Linked DNA regions of Danio rerio. The protein of the gene in region 2 purifies or fractionates together with the protein of the main gene of each other region. This does not show direct contact. Links are inferred from orthologs where the notes say so. Each region holds a gene or a part of one and is shown on either strand. Other genes may lie near its edges.

Evidence for each region. Proteins that work in one complex are often made in the same cells at the same time.
Region 1: the proteins of dhx15 (region 2) and sf3b4 purify together in Homo sapiens (co-immunoprecipitation; 4 studies listed by BioGRID and IntAct, with this or other methods). This does not show direct contact. The link is inferred for Danio rerio from reciprocal best matches to the Homo sapiens genes DHX15 and SF3B4.
Region 3: the proteins of dhx15 (region 2) and sf3b6 fractionate together in Homo sapiens (co-fractionation; 3 studies listed by BioGRID and IntAct, with this or other methods). This does not show direct contact. The link is inferred for Danio rerio from reciprocal best matches to the Homo sapiens genes DHX15 and SF3B6.
Region 4: the proteins of dhx15 (region 2) and sf3b2 purify together in Homo sapiens (co-immunoprecipitation; 3 studies listed by BioGRID and IntAct, with this or other methods). This does not show direct contact. The link is inferred for Danio rerio from reciprocal best matches to the Homo sapiens genes DHX15 and SF3B2.

The regions. Positions count from the first base shown.
Region 1 is NC_133194.1:8,482,984-8,487,411, forward strand, and holds the end of sf3b4 (splicing factor 3B subunit 4), read left to right. Parts: intron 1-2,769; coding exon 2,770-3,099; intron 3,100-3,381; coding exon 3,382-3,548; 3' UTR 3,549-3,695; downstream 3,696-4,428. UniProt on the Homo sapiens protein: Component of the 17S U2 SnRNP complex of the spliceosome, a large ribonucleoprotein complex that removes introns from transcribed pre-mRNAs.
Region 2 is NC_133182.1:76,901,239-76,905,167, reverse strand, and holds part of dhx15 (ATP-dependent RNA helicase DHX15), read left to right. Parts: intron 1-68; coding exon 69-429; intron 430-1,297; coding exon 1,298-1,491; intron 1,492-3,427; coding exon 3,428-3,587; intron 3,588-3,929.
Region 3 is NC_133195.1:38,725,903-38,728,401, forward strand, and holds the end of sf3b6 (splicing factor 3B subunit 6), read left to right. Parts: intron 1-829; coding exon 830-968; intron 969-1,436; coding exon 1,437-1,526; 3' UTR 1,527-1,766; downstream 1,767-2,499.
Region 4 is NC_133182.1:6,544,587-6,547,887, reverse strand, and holds part of sf3b2 (splicing factor 3B subunit 2), read right to left. Parts: intron 1,236-3,301; coding exon 1,041-1,235; intron 1-1,040. UniProt on the Homo sapiens protein: Component of the 17S U2 SnRNP complex of the spliceosome, a large ribonucleoprotein complex that removes introns from transcribed pre-mRNAs.

The DNA of each region.
Region 1 (4,428 bases), on a different chromosome or scaffold from region 2:
TTCCAGGTTCAAAGTCGTCAGAGTTGGATAAATTTAGAGTGAAGTGAATGGGAGAGTACAACAAATATTTTTTATTCACAATCCTGTTTGCTGAAATAGTAAAAGAAAAACTTCACTATGGTGTTATCAAGACTTTCAAGAAAGAAAAGAAAATAATGTGAGACTGATAACGACAGACAGAAAATAGAACAACATCAAATTTACTGTCCTGCCCTATAGACGCTGCATTTCAAATGCCACACATAGGTGGTAATTTAATGCAAAGATGATGTAGCACATACATAAATACATAAAAATGTTAATAGTTTTTAAATAATCTATTAAAAATATATAAAAAGATTTAAGATAGGGCTGTATGATATTGGAAAAATGTAATGTAACCCACAGTTCCTACTGCACCTATTCCATTCTGAGCTGGGATCAAACTGGCGATTCTTTGTAATGGAAGCCGGTTGCTCTACCAGGGAGGCTAAAGACCATGGCCTCTAGCTTCTGTGTCTAGAATACCTTTTGAGGTCAGAGGAGTGACGTTTACCTGCGTAGCCCTTTGCTATCTGGCCTCCGTTACACTCACCCTCCTAAACCTCACTGCTCACTCCCATTCCAGACGAGCCCTCAAGTGTAACCCACCGGTTCCTCTGCACCCAACCCGGTCTGAGCTGTGACTGGCAATTTGTTGTATGGGAGTCGATTGCTCTAACAAGGAGGCTAAAGACCATGGCCTCTAGCGTTTGTCGTTAGAGCACCTTTTGAGGTTAGAGAAGTGAGGTTTACCTGCTTAGTACTTCGCTAGCTGGCCTCTGTTACACTCACCCCCCTAAGCCTCAGTCTCATCCTGGACGAGCCCCCAAGTGTAATCCACCAGTTCTACTGCACCCGACCTGGTCTGAGCTGGGATCGAAACGGTGATTCTTAGTATGGGAATTGGTTGCTTCAACAGGAAGTCTAAAGACCATGGCCTCTAGCGTCTTTCACTAGAGCACCTTTAGAAGACAGAGGAGGGAGAGGTTTACCTGCTTAGCACTTAGCTAGCTGGCCTCTGTTACAGTAACGTTGTGATATTTTGTTAAAATACAACTAGTAATCTACAAGCAAAGATCAATACTATAAGATGTAAATAAAATTGAATGGTTTTCTGATGAGTCTAACGGTATTTAAGTAGTAGTTGAATAATCAAATGTTAAATACTGTGTGTCTTTGTTTTATAAATAATCCTATAAAAAAGAAAGTTAGAAACAGTACAGTTTCTCAGGTCTGAATATATTTAATACCCTCAGTCACAGGCCTCAAAAACACACATAAGTCATAATTTATTATCCAGACTGTACATTGAGGGTCCTGCAATTTGACTATTGTATATGAGCACATTGCGATATCTATGCTGAAATGATATACAGCTTTAATTTAAGATGCTGATGATCGTTAAACGCGCCATAACAGTTCTTGTGAAAAGGGTCCATTGCACATCCCTACGTTATAAAAAACCTTTCTTTAATTTGGTTAAAGAGGTTTAAACTTTACTTTCACGTTCAAAGACATCAGCCAGGGTTCCTACACTTTTTGAAAGTACTTCGATTTTAGACATACGGATTTAAGGCTTGTAGAGTACTCAAAAACAAATCAGGTCCTTAATAGTGCTTGATTTAAATTTGAAATGAAGTTAGTTTAAGGTGTTATTGTAGCAATTGTACTGTCCTGCTGACAAAAACAGAACTAAAATGGAAAATTCTTTATATAAAAATATTACATTTACATCTTGTACAAAAACGATGACAAATAATGCACATTTCATGAAAGAGAGGAAACCCTGATCAATAAATGCTGGCATTTTAATTATCACTGAGAGAATTTCTGCAGGTCTTTAAAAGTCATTCACCCTTTTACAGTTTCTTAAATCAGAGCAGATAAAAATCATAAAACATGGGTGCAAACTTGTCACTTTTCAGTCACGTGACCAGTATTTTGACACAATGTGTTCTTTTAAAAAATAAATCTTTACTTGGTCATAAAGTCATAAATGTACCTTAATAAAAGCCCTAATAAAATAAGATTTGTTTTATGAAATGGGTCATGGTTATTTAAAACAAGTTAAATATCAAATCCTTTCTATTTAACTTGAGGTGTATTAAAATGTGTCATTTCACTTCAATATTTAATATTTATATTTTTTATTTTACATAAATATTTAATGTTTTCTACAAAAACTCTTAAAAAAAATACCCCCGTCACATTTTGATGAAATAAAACACAAACAGGTATTGACCTTATTCTTAGCCGACGAGCAGGCGCTGCCATTTGAATCTTTTTGGCACGAGACTTCCGGTCTCATTCACTTACATTCATTTTTAGACATTAAAAACTGCTCGTTTCGCTGTTTGATGTTGCAAACTGATATTTCTCTGTTATATTATTCTACTTGGTCTGTATAGTCATGCAAACATTTGTTTGTAGAGCAAGTAGTTTGACCATTTTCTGCCGTTTATTATTCCTAGTCATTTCTCCCATAGGCGACTGAAATGGAAGTTCTAAGACAATCGCGAAAACAGGCGCACTTCCGCAATTTAGAATGTCAATACAGTAGTAGAAAACATCAGTTATTTTAATTTAAAGTCTCTAGTCATAATTCTAACCTAGGATTAGGTGTAAAATAATGTCATAAGTCTGTAAAACTTTATAGCCTAAAAGAAAATAGAAATGTTTTTCTGGTGATTCAAGTTACCATACTGTTATTTTTTTTCTGCATCAACTCTTTGCATGTTAATCTTGCAGGAATGCCTCCTCCCGGTGCTTTCCCACCTGTTCCTCCTCCTGGCACAATGCCACCTGGGATGCCTCCCGGTATGCCCATGCCTCCAGCACCAGGTACTCCTGCGCCACAGGGCGGTGGAGGACCCCCACCGGGACACCCGCCCTTCCCTCCTGCTGGAATGCATCCGCCAGGAATGCCGCATATGCCGATGCCTCCAACGGGACCTCCAGGAATGGTGCCTCCCCCACCTGGCCCACCAGGATCTAACCAACCAAGAGCACCGCCTCCACCACAAATGCCTCCTCCACCCATGGGTGTCCCTCCCAGAGGACCCTTTGGACCCCCAATGGGTATGTATGTGTGTGTGTGTGAAGGAGACTGACTTGTTGTGTTAGTATGTATTGAAATCATGAAATAATATTAAATTATAAATTATAAATCATAGTATTATGAATATATCAGTATTTTATATGATCATTATCACAATATAATGATGGTTTATATATATATATATATATATATATATATATATATATATATATATATATATATATATATATATATAAAACGTGTATGTGTGTGTGTTTTTATTTATGCAATGATTTATACAAATCTTCATCTACTTTTAACAGGTCCACCAATGCATCCGGGTATGAGGGGTCCTCCTCCACCAATGCCGCCTCCAGGTTATGGTGCGGGACCACCCAGACCCCCACCCTTTGGTTTTCAGAGAGGGCCTCCCATGCCGCCTCGTCCTCCTGCACCCAGAGGTCCGATGAGAGCACCGGCACCTTCCTAAACCCCCATGTGAAGACCAAACTTTGTCTCGTTTTTATTTTACAGTCTGCGCTCTATTAGATGGATCTCTTGCTTCTTTGTACACAGATTTCTTAATTTTGGTCAATGTACCTTTTCGGAATTAGCAAGAATAAACAGTTTTATATAACATGGTGGTGGTATTTTAAGTGGACTTTTAAAAACTCTCTACTATCATCAAACATTAATATCGCTATAATATGAATACATAGAATCAGAAGGATAGGATTATAGTTCCTAGACATATCAGCCTAGAACAGGGATCACTAAACATGTTCCTGGAGGTCTGGTGTCCTGCAGATTTTAGCTTCAACCTTAATCAAACACACCTGATCAAGGTCTTACTAGGTATACTTGAAACACCCAGGCAGGTGAGTTGAGGCAAGTTGGAGCTAAACTCTGCAGGGCACTGGACCTCCAGGAACGAGATTAGTGACCCCTGCCCTAGAATATTGTAACTTTTAATTTTCTGTCGGTCTTAGCCAGGGGTGTACAATCTCAGTCCTGGAGGGCCGGTGTCCTGCTGAGTTTAGCTCCAACTTCCTTCAACACACCTGCCAGGCAGTTTTTAGTATTTATAATAAGAGCTCATTTAGCTGGTTCAGGTGTGTTTGATTAGGGTTGAAGCTAAACTCTCCAGGACAACGGCCCTCCAGGACCAATTTGGACACCCCTGGTGTTAGTACACCATGTAAACTACAGAAAAGTCCAACTTAAATAGGAAATTGATTAAAAACTTTTCCTTTTTGAGTGAGATGCTACTGGTCTAATCTGATTCAATGATGTATTCCCGCCAGACTCAAAGATATCAGCTGAATGGATTCAAAAATGGAAAAACCCGACTGTTTAATTACTTTTATGTT
Region 2 (3,929 bases):
ACTTAAATTATCAAACCAAATGCATTTGATGATTAAGCTTAAGGGATGCATTATTTTTTCCCCATCAGGAAGGACCGTGACAGAGATCGGGATGAGCGATCAAAGGATCGAGATCGTGACCGGGACCGTGAGCGCGATCGTGACAGAGACCGAGACCGCGATCGCGACCGAGAGAGAGACAGCAAGTCGTCGAGTGCGGCGCTCAGCTCCAGCGTGTCTGGAAGCGGAATCCTTCCTCTGAAGCAGGCCAGCATGCATCAGCAGATCAACCCCTTCACCAACCTGCCTCACACGCCACGCTACTACGAGATCCTCAAGAAGAGGCTGCAGTTGCCCGTCTGGGAGTATAAAGAGCGCTTTAATGACATCCTGAACCGCCATCAGAGCTTTGTGCTCGTAGGAGAGACCGGCTCTGGAAAGACCACACAGGTTAGACTGCATAGAATTTTCCATATACCTTTGCAGTGTCATTTTTACATTTACATAACCATAAACGCTGTTTATTTCACTTTTATCTTTGCTTTATTGCATTTATTTATGCTTTTTATTTGTTTAGTTCCACAATCATGAGATAAAATTTGTAATTTTTACTGTTGGTCATCAGTTGACAGCATTAACACTTTAGATAGGCCTGTGCAAACTAGTTTTGGGCTTTTTTTATAGCATTTTATGGAGTAAAACGGCTGATTATAGTGTGTGTGTGTGTGTGTGTGTGTGTGTGTCCATGAATAGACTTACTAGGTTACTATGGTTACTATGTTCTGAGAGCTGAGCTGATTATTTAGATTTTCTCAGACATATTACAGTAAGTGCGCAAAGGTCTCTCCCTCTCATATACACGCATAAACAATAAATATAACTCCAAAGCCAGAAACTAATCTTTTTTGCACTGCTATTGATGATCAACAGTAAAAATGAAACATTTTACCTCTTCCCAACAGGGAAAACCACCAAGAATAAAGAATACACCTAGTCATGACTTTGCAATCACAAAACGTCATTATAATGGAAATCAATGGGTCAAAAACAGCCACCAACATAATGAAAGTGTAGTAAATTTGCCTAGAGTATATTAAAAGTTCAGTTTTTGAAAATTTTCAAAGTGTTTTCCCAAAATATGTCAAAATAAGATTAATTACCAAAAATCATTCCATTTGCTGAAACACTGAGAAGGTTGTGGCCAAATTAAGTCTCAAAATCCCCCCAGATTGGATTAAAAACATCCCCAACAGCACACAAGGCTTAATAAAACCACAATAAGGAGCTTTTAATGGATGTTTGGACTGTTGTTTTTCAGATCCCTCAGTGGTGTGTTGACATGGTCAGGTCTCTGCCTGGCCCGAAGCGCGGCGTGGCCTGTACTCAGCCCAGAAGGGTGGCAGCCATGAGTGTGGCTCAGAGAGTGGCAGATGAGATGGATGTCATGCTGGGTCAGGAGGTCGGATACTCCATCAGATTCGAGGACTGTAGCTCTGCAAAGACCATACTAAAGTAAGTCATTGCTCTCAAATGATGTGTGTCATGAGCCTTCAATAAAGTGGAAGTCAATGCACCCTTTTCACAAGACGCGTGTAATAGTCATCAGCATCTTGAATACTTGAACGTTTTTAATATTGTGATATAAAAATGCTTTAACTTTTATTTGTAATTGTGTTTGTATTACATCATCTTTGCGTAAAGTTACTAAAAACAAATGACTATTTGTACGAGGGTGTTGAAATGCAGCGCGTATGGGGGCAGGACAGTAAATCGGATGTTGTTTTCTCTTCTGGCTACAGTTATCAGTCTCACACTATCGTTTTCCTTTTTCTGAAAGTCGTGATAACACCATTGTGGAGTTTTTCTTTTCTTTTTTTAGCAAATAGGATTTTAAAACAATTATTTGTTGCACTCTCTCGTTTACTGCACTAAAAGTTTACCAACTATGACGACTTCTGCTGCTGACTAATCTGGAAACTGGAAAATGGTCCGTTGTAGCTTTTGGTAATGGGCTAAGCTTGTAGAAATCCTCTGTCATTAAAGGGATAGTTCACCCAAAAGTGAAAAATATAACTAAAAAAAGGTTTATAACAATAAGACATCAACAGCAATAAATAATACAGAAAATAAGATGATCTAAAGCAGTTTAAGATTTACTTTTGATGATAATTCTGCAGTTTTTGAAAGACTCTTTACAGAGACTTTTAAATGTGAGTGCTTGAAAAAATTGTTTTAAGTTTAGTTGTATCCAATATAAAAGTTTATTTTGACACGATGTATGTGTGTTGTGTATATTATGCATATGTAATACAAAGTATGTTTATTTTTTTGTTTTTTTTACATACAAATTATAAATACATTAAGGGCGCTTTCACACCTAGACCTTTGTTTCGGAACCTGGTGCGTTTCCCCGGTTCGTGCGGTTCGTTTGGCATATGTGAATCCAGCAATCGGGCTCTGATCCGCACCAAAGCAATCGGTCCGAGATCGCCTGAATGAGGTGATCTTGGCTTGATTGAAACGAACTCTAAAGCAGATCGATTGTAGTGAGAAAGCAATACAATCTAAACCAGGCTATATCACAGAGTATTATGGATATGTAATAGGCATACATATGGTTATAAATAAAGAATTATGATAAGGGCGGGATGTTATTTTTACCAGTAAATAAGCATTTCATGTCAAATACGAAAATGAAAGCATGCTGAACTATTAACGAGAGCTGTTTATTCGTTAGGAAAATGGGTCTTGGTTTATCTGTTATTTCTCTCATAATGTAAAGCCTATAATGCATAATTCTAGCCAAAGGCTATGTGTGAAAAAGTCTTACCTCTGATTTAAATCTGTTGATGTCTGTGGGTGTCACCATTCAAAATGAAAGTGCAGCCTTTCGCTTATGTCTCATTGCTCCTCATCATAAATTAAAATAAGGACGCATGACAGCTGAGCGGGACTCTGCAAAATAAACCATGCAACTCTGACCAATGTGAGGAGAGTTTACTCACACGTGACTTGTATTAGCTATTTTGGTCCATTTTCTGTATTATTTACTGCTGTTGATGTCTTATTGTTATAAAACTTTTTTATTATAAAGAAGATATTTTTATAAAATGTTTGTAAATTGTGTTTGTTTTTGCCACGACAGCTAGAAGCAGATAATGGCTATCAACTCAATATCTGTCCGTCTGTCTCTCTAATTTAAATTAAAAATGGATGAGAAATGTTACCAATGTATTGCCAAAGCGTTCATAAAGTTTACATTAACACGAACACAGTATATGTAAAAACATAGTAGGCGCAGTAAATGGTAGTAGTAAAAAACAAAATCTGAATAAACTGTACATTTCAAGTACTCTTCTCTCTCTCTAGCTCTGCTATGCCTATTCTTTTGGTGTTGTTTTAGTGCTACTTGATATAAAGACTAATAAAAAGTGTGTCTTGTTTGCAGATATATGACAGACGGTATGTTACTCCGTGAGGCTATGAACGACCCCTTACTGGAGCGATACGGTGTCATTATTCTTGACGAGGCCCACGAGCGCACGTTAGCCACAGATATTCTGATGGGCGTCCTCAAGGAAGTGGTCCGACAGAGATCTGACCTTAAGGTATGTCAAACCCATCACCGGTAGAAGTAGGTGACAGAAATAATTACCAGTGAGCATATAAGTGAAGTCACAATTATAAGCCCTTTATTACAAAATATTTTCCAAATGATGTTTAACAGATTCAGGAGTTTTGCCACAGTATTTCCTATAATATTTTTTCTCCTGGAGAAAGTCTTATTTGTCACAGGGGGCTAATAATTCTGACTTCAGCTGTACACTCGGTCAGGTAATACATACGAGAAATGTAGACTTGACCATGACTTGGAAATTGAATTAACTTTAGAATTGACTATAGACCTGCTCACACTCTGAGATTTCACCCGCGGTTTAGTCATCTGAGAC
Region 3 (2,499 bases), on a different chromosome or scaffold from region 2:
CAATTAAATGACACAATGCTATTATTATTATGATCATTATTATTATTATGATTATTATAGATTGATTACTGAATACTGTTTGACTGCCCATAAAATTATAAATCTTTGTTTATTTGCATCTTTTGTCCATTGTATTTAACTATGCTAGTCATTTTAATATAATACTTTATACAGATACACTCCCCTGCAGAATCATCCTAATCTTTACAAGCTAGTCGTCTGCTGAAATTGTATATATATATATATAGCAGTGAATAAAAATATTGCAATGTCAGTTTTTTTTTTCCAAATATCGCGCAGCTCTAGTTTTGATATTCACGCGATCATTCAGTGAAAACTTGTGATATGGTCTCTATATTTTTTACCACTCTACTTTGAATATTTGGGCAGAAATAGCATGCAAGTATGACTTCAAAACAACGTCAGCACTATTTGATTGACTGTGAACCATGTTGTCTTTTGTTAGTCTTTGGCCGCTAAAATGACTTCCCTATTCAGAATTGGCAAAGAATACTTTTTGAAATTCTAATATTAAGGAAAAGTCAGAATGTGCAAATATAAAACCTTACCCCAATGAGAAAACATATTAGCATCAAATGACTATCAAAGTATAACATTAAATAGAGCTAATGTTGTTTTAAAGTTATATTTACATGCTATTTCAGGCCGAATATTCAAAGTACAATATAGGCTGTCACAAGTTGTCATTGTTCAAAAATGAACAAATGTGCAAATATAGAACTAACTTTACCTCCGTGATTGTGTCATTAATATATTTGTGTTTGTAAGTTGAGTAACTGAATGTTCCGTTGTTATTTTTCTTCTTCAGCGGGAACACACCAGAGACCAGAGGCACAGCCTATGTTGTATATGAAGACATCTTTGACGCCAAAAATGCCTGTGATCACCTTTCAGGGTTCAACGTCTGCAACAGATACTTGGTTGTGTTGTATTATAATGCAAACAGGGTGAGTTTGTTTAACTTTGGCTTTGAAATGCTAACATTGGAATCAATCAACTTGTTAAGTGTGGCATCAAGCAAAGCGGCTTTCAGGTCAAAGGGCTCTATCAAAAGTAACGGGAAGGCTCAACAAATGGAAATAATAAACATTTAAAAATCGATTTAATGCTTTCAAAAATCACGATCGCTATATATATATATATATATATATATATATATATATATATATATATATATATATATATATATGCACCTAATATCTGATGGCCAGAAAGTGATACATTTTTATAAATTGTTAAAATATTGGTGTCTGCAAGCAGCAAGACTCTTGTGTGCACCATGGTTTTTATATAAAATTCACTTTAATGTGTGATGTGACCAAAAATTGCATTTCATTTTTAAATGATGCACTACTTTATGTTAATGGAAGTAGTGATGAGGCTATATATTAATGTTTACTTCTTTTTTTCCCAAGGCTTTCCAAAAAATGGACACAAAGAAAAAGGAGGAGCAGCTGAAACTTCTCAAAGAGAAGTACGGGATAAACACAGACCCACCAAAATAGTCAACATAGATTTTTTTTTTTTTACTCTTGTTCTGTCTTGCACCCATCTCATTTTCACTTTACTGCTTTAAGTAATACTTGTTTAAAAGGAAAGGACTGTTTGACCATTGTTCTTTGCTTGAACTGAAGTCTTTTGGCAGACCTAATTTCTTTTTCAATTAATTTTCTGTTAATATTGAATAAAATGATATTTGTTCATCGGGTTTGTTTTAATAAATCATTGATTCTCCTTTTTTAATATAAATGTTTGGTGTCTTTTTGCACTTATTGTACAGGTAAAATAGATTCAAAGTCCTGGAGTTTAAAAATGAATCAACTGATTTTACAAATGAAAGTTGATGCAATGCTTGACAAACACATGAATTAACATTTCTCTGGTTATCAGTAAGTGTGTGTGTGTGTGTGTGTGTGCGCGCGTGCGTGCGTGTGTGTGTGTGTGTGAGAGAGAGAGATTACATAAATGCGCATCTATTGTTTTTTTATTTTGAAACAATATTTTAATTTTTAAATAAAATAATGTTGTGTGTTTGTGCATATTATAAGTTATATACTCCATACATAAATAAACAAAATGTATAATTATATATTTAAAAAAAACGCATTGTTGCCGACGTCTTGTAATGAACTTCCGTTTGACCTTAAATGAGCCAATCAGTTTCTAGCAGGGGAAGGAGGCGCGAAAGTACCAGTGCTGGATCTAGTTAGGCGTCTGTTAATTTGCTTGTTTAGTTGTGGGATGTCGGTTTGTTTCTGGGATTTTCATATTGCTGTATCTTTGTTGTTCGCTAAAACTACGCTTGACTGGGGAAAAATCCCTTTTCAGTTCGCTTACCTTTGATTTGCTTCGACGGTTGATGAGAGGCCAAGATGTCGTTGGTCAACGCTGAGTTCAGAGCGGAATTTAACCTGAAGTGGTGAGTGTTTGTAGTAAGTTAAATGTCTAACGTTATTTGTTTTTTGCGATGTGCATTAA
Region 4 (3,301 bases), about 70 Mb from region 2:
CTGTGTTTGAGATGGTTGGTCTATTGAAATGTGTATATTCCAGATAAAGTACGAAGCTGATCGGCAGGGCCAGACAGAATCTGTGGACATTTTTTGCTATTTCTGCTGAGAATTTCATTTTTAAAAAAATATATAAAAAAATAGAAATGGATGGATTTATGCAGAATAATTTTAGGAGTATCATAACTAAAAACTTAATAAAAATACATTTTTAACTTGTATTTAATGTTTACATTGCAAATCCAATTATATTCACTTATTTGGTAAACAAAGCAAGTCTCTCATATAATATATCTACTAAAAGACAGAAAATATTCATTTACAAACTACTGTTCAGAAACCATATGAAATTAATATTACTATTATTATATCATAATGATATTAGTAAAATTTATTGAAATAAATATAATAATTGAATAAATATAAATTTACACACAAGTAAATAAATAGACTGAATAATGGGCTCAAAATCTGCAGATTTCTGCGCTCGCCTACTGATCGGTCAGTTCTTGTCACGTAACTTGCGGTGCGCTTGTGGCCTTAATTCAACAGGGTGCAACTGAAAGGCGCGAGCGTGTCACACCCATAGACTGTAAAATATATGGACGTAGTGTCCGTGACGTCACCAATTGGTTTCTGAAGAGCGCAAAAGAAGCCACAAGTAGGCGCGGCCAACCGTCGCCATTTTGTTCGTGCGTTATCGCACTCACGGCGGGATACCAAACAAGGGCAAAGAGGCGGAGAGTGAGTGGAGCTACAGACACCTGCTGGCATTTAGCTTGGACCTGGCTCAGACACTTTATTTACACACTGGGTTTTAAGCATGAATATTAATGTGATGATATTGATGATGTGATAATGTGATATATTGATTGATACTTGTGATGTGAACGCTGATGTGGTGAAGCCAAACATACATTTGCAGTTAAATACAGAAAGTCAAATCTGCAGGACACTGACTCTCCAGCACCGAGTTTGGGCAGCAGCCCTGCTTTAATGCAGTAATGCTAAAAGTCTTGAAGGCTTGCGTGTGAACTGACCTTCTGTTTGGCGGCGTGCTCGGCCACCATGTCGCTGAAGTCCTCCTTCTCCACCTGCTGCTCCCGGACGTGCTCCTCGTACTTCTGGGTCATGGCCATGGGGTCCAACTCCAGCTCCTCTGGGGCCAGAGCAACCTCCACACCCTGAGAGTCTCCGCCCAGCACAGACACGCCCACCTTACGACTTGTCACCGTCTGCACCAATCACAGCACAGAGAGGCACTTTTAACATTTCTGACATGCATTTTAAAAGAGAAGAGGCTATAATTAATAAAAAGCTGTATTATAATAATAAAAATAGATATTGATCTTATAAAACAGGGTTAACAAGCAAAAAAGTATACTGAATGACTTAAAATTGACATTTAAGACAAGATTTACAAGACATTTTACAAGATTTATAAGACAAACCGTATTTAGAAAAAGCAATACTTCAGTATTTCCACTCTGAATCATTTTTGAATGAATCATTTGAGTCAGAGTCTACGATTGACTAATAAATGACTTCATTCTGACTAAGACTTGATGCTTCTTTCTAAATCAAACATTCAGCCATTTTGAATGAATCATTTGAGTCAATGATCCATTCATAAAAATGATCCATTTATAAATAAATCAGCGGTTTTGAACAAATCATTTGAGTCAAGGTAATTAAAAACTGATTCATTGCTTCATTCTAAATAAATCTGTGATTCTGATTGAATCATTTGAGTCAGAGACAATGATCCATTGATAAAAATGTCATTTGAGCCAATACATTTATGAAAAGATTCAATTTAAATAAATCTGCCATTTTAAATGAATCATTTGAGTTAATGATCCATTCATATATTTGATTCACTGCTTCAAACTAAATACAGCAGCTGTTCTGAACAAATCAATTCGAGTCAATCTATTTATAAAAATGATTCATTGCTTCATTCTAAATAAATCAGTCCATTCTGAACAAATCATTAGTCAAAGATCCATTCCTAGAAAATGCTTTTTTTTTCCCTAAAATTCTCTATTCTAAACAGATCATTTGAGAACATCAACAATCCTTTAATAAAAATGCTTCATTTATAAATAAATCAGCTGTTCTGAATGAATAATTTGAGTCAATGATCCATTCATAAAAACTATTTATAGTTTCAGTCTAAATAAATCTGTAATTCTGAATGAATCATTTGAGTTAATGAACCATTCATAAATTTGATTCACTGCTTCAATCTAAATACAACAGCTGTTCTAAACAAATCAATTAAATCAGTCCATTTATAAAATGATTAATTTGATTCATCGCTTCAACCTAAATTAAACAACCATTGTAAATGAATCATTTGAATCATGTAAATGAATCATGAGTCAACCCATTCGAAAAAAAGATTAACTGATTCAAACTAAAGAAATCAGCCCATTCTGAACAAATCATTTGAGTTCATGATCCATTCATTAAAAAGATTCATTGCTTTAATTTAAATAAAACCGCCATTCTGAACGAATCATTTGAGTCCATGATACATTCATTAAAATGATTCATTGCTTCAATCTAAATAAAACCGCCATTCTGAACGAATCATTTGAGTCCATGATACATTCATTAGAATGATTCATTGCTTCAATCTAAATAAAACCGCCATTCTGAACGAATCATTTGAGTCCATGATACATTCATTAGAATGATTCATTGCTTTAATCTAAATAAAACCGCCATTCTGAATGAATCATTTGAATCAATCCAGTCATAAAAATGATTCATTGCTTCATTCTAAAAAAAATCAGCCATTCTAAATGAATCGTTTGATCCGAATCAATGATCAATTCATGAAATGATTTTACATAAATGAGCCGTTTGCAACAAATCATTTGAAATAATGACTGAGTGAATCGCTCATTAAGAACTGTAACTGACTGAAATTATCATAGTTATGCATGACAGGCTAAACCAGCACAAACGAAACACATTGCTAAATATTGAAATAAAAATGTTTTTAAAATCACACACTCCTAACAAACCCATCAAACGTCTAAAATGTCATTTGTCTCAAGTAAAGGCAGCATTTATTTCTGCATGTCAGTGCTGTAAACCGTATATAGCTGCACTTTTCTGATCTACAGCATCATATCCGCCAGCTGCTGCTCGTTTCCCTCTTCTGTGTCATTTTAAATGCAGATGAAGGCCATATGGATGCAGTGTGTGCGCGCGTGTGATGCTGTGAAGCGGATCTGATGCAGACGCTCTGCTATCTCATCAGCCATCCAGACATCTTAATTAGCCACTA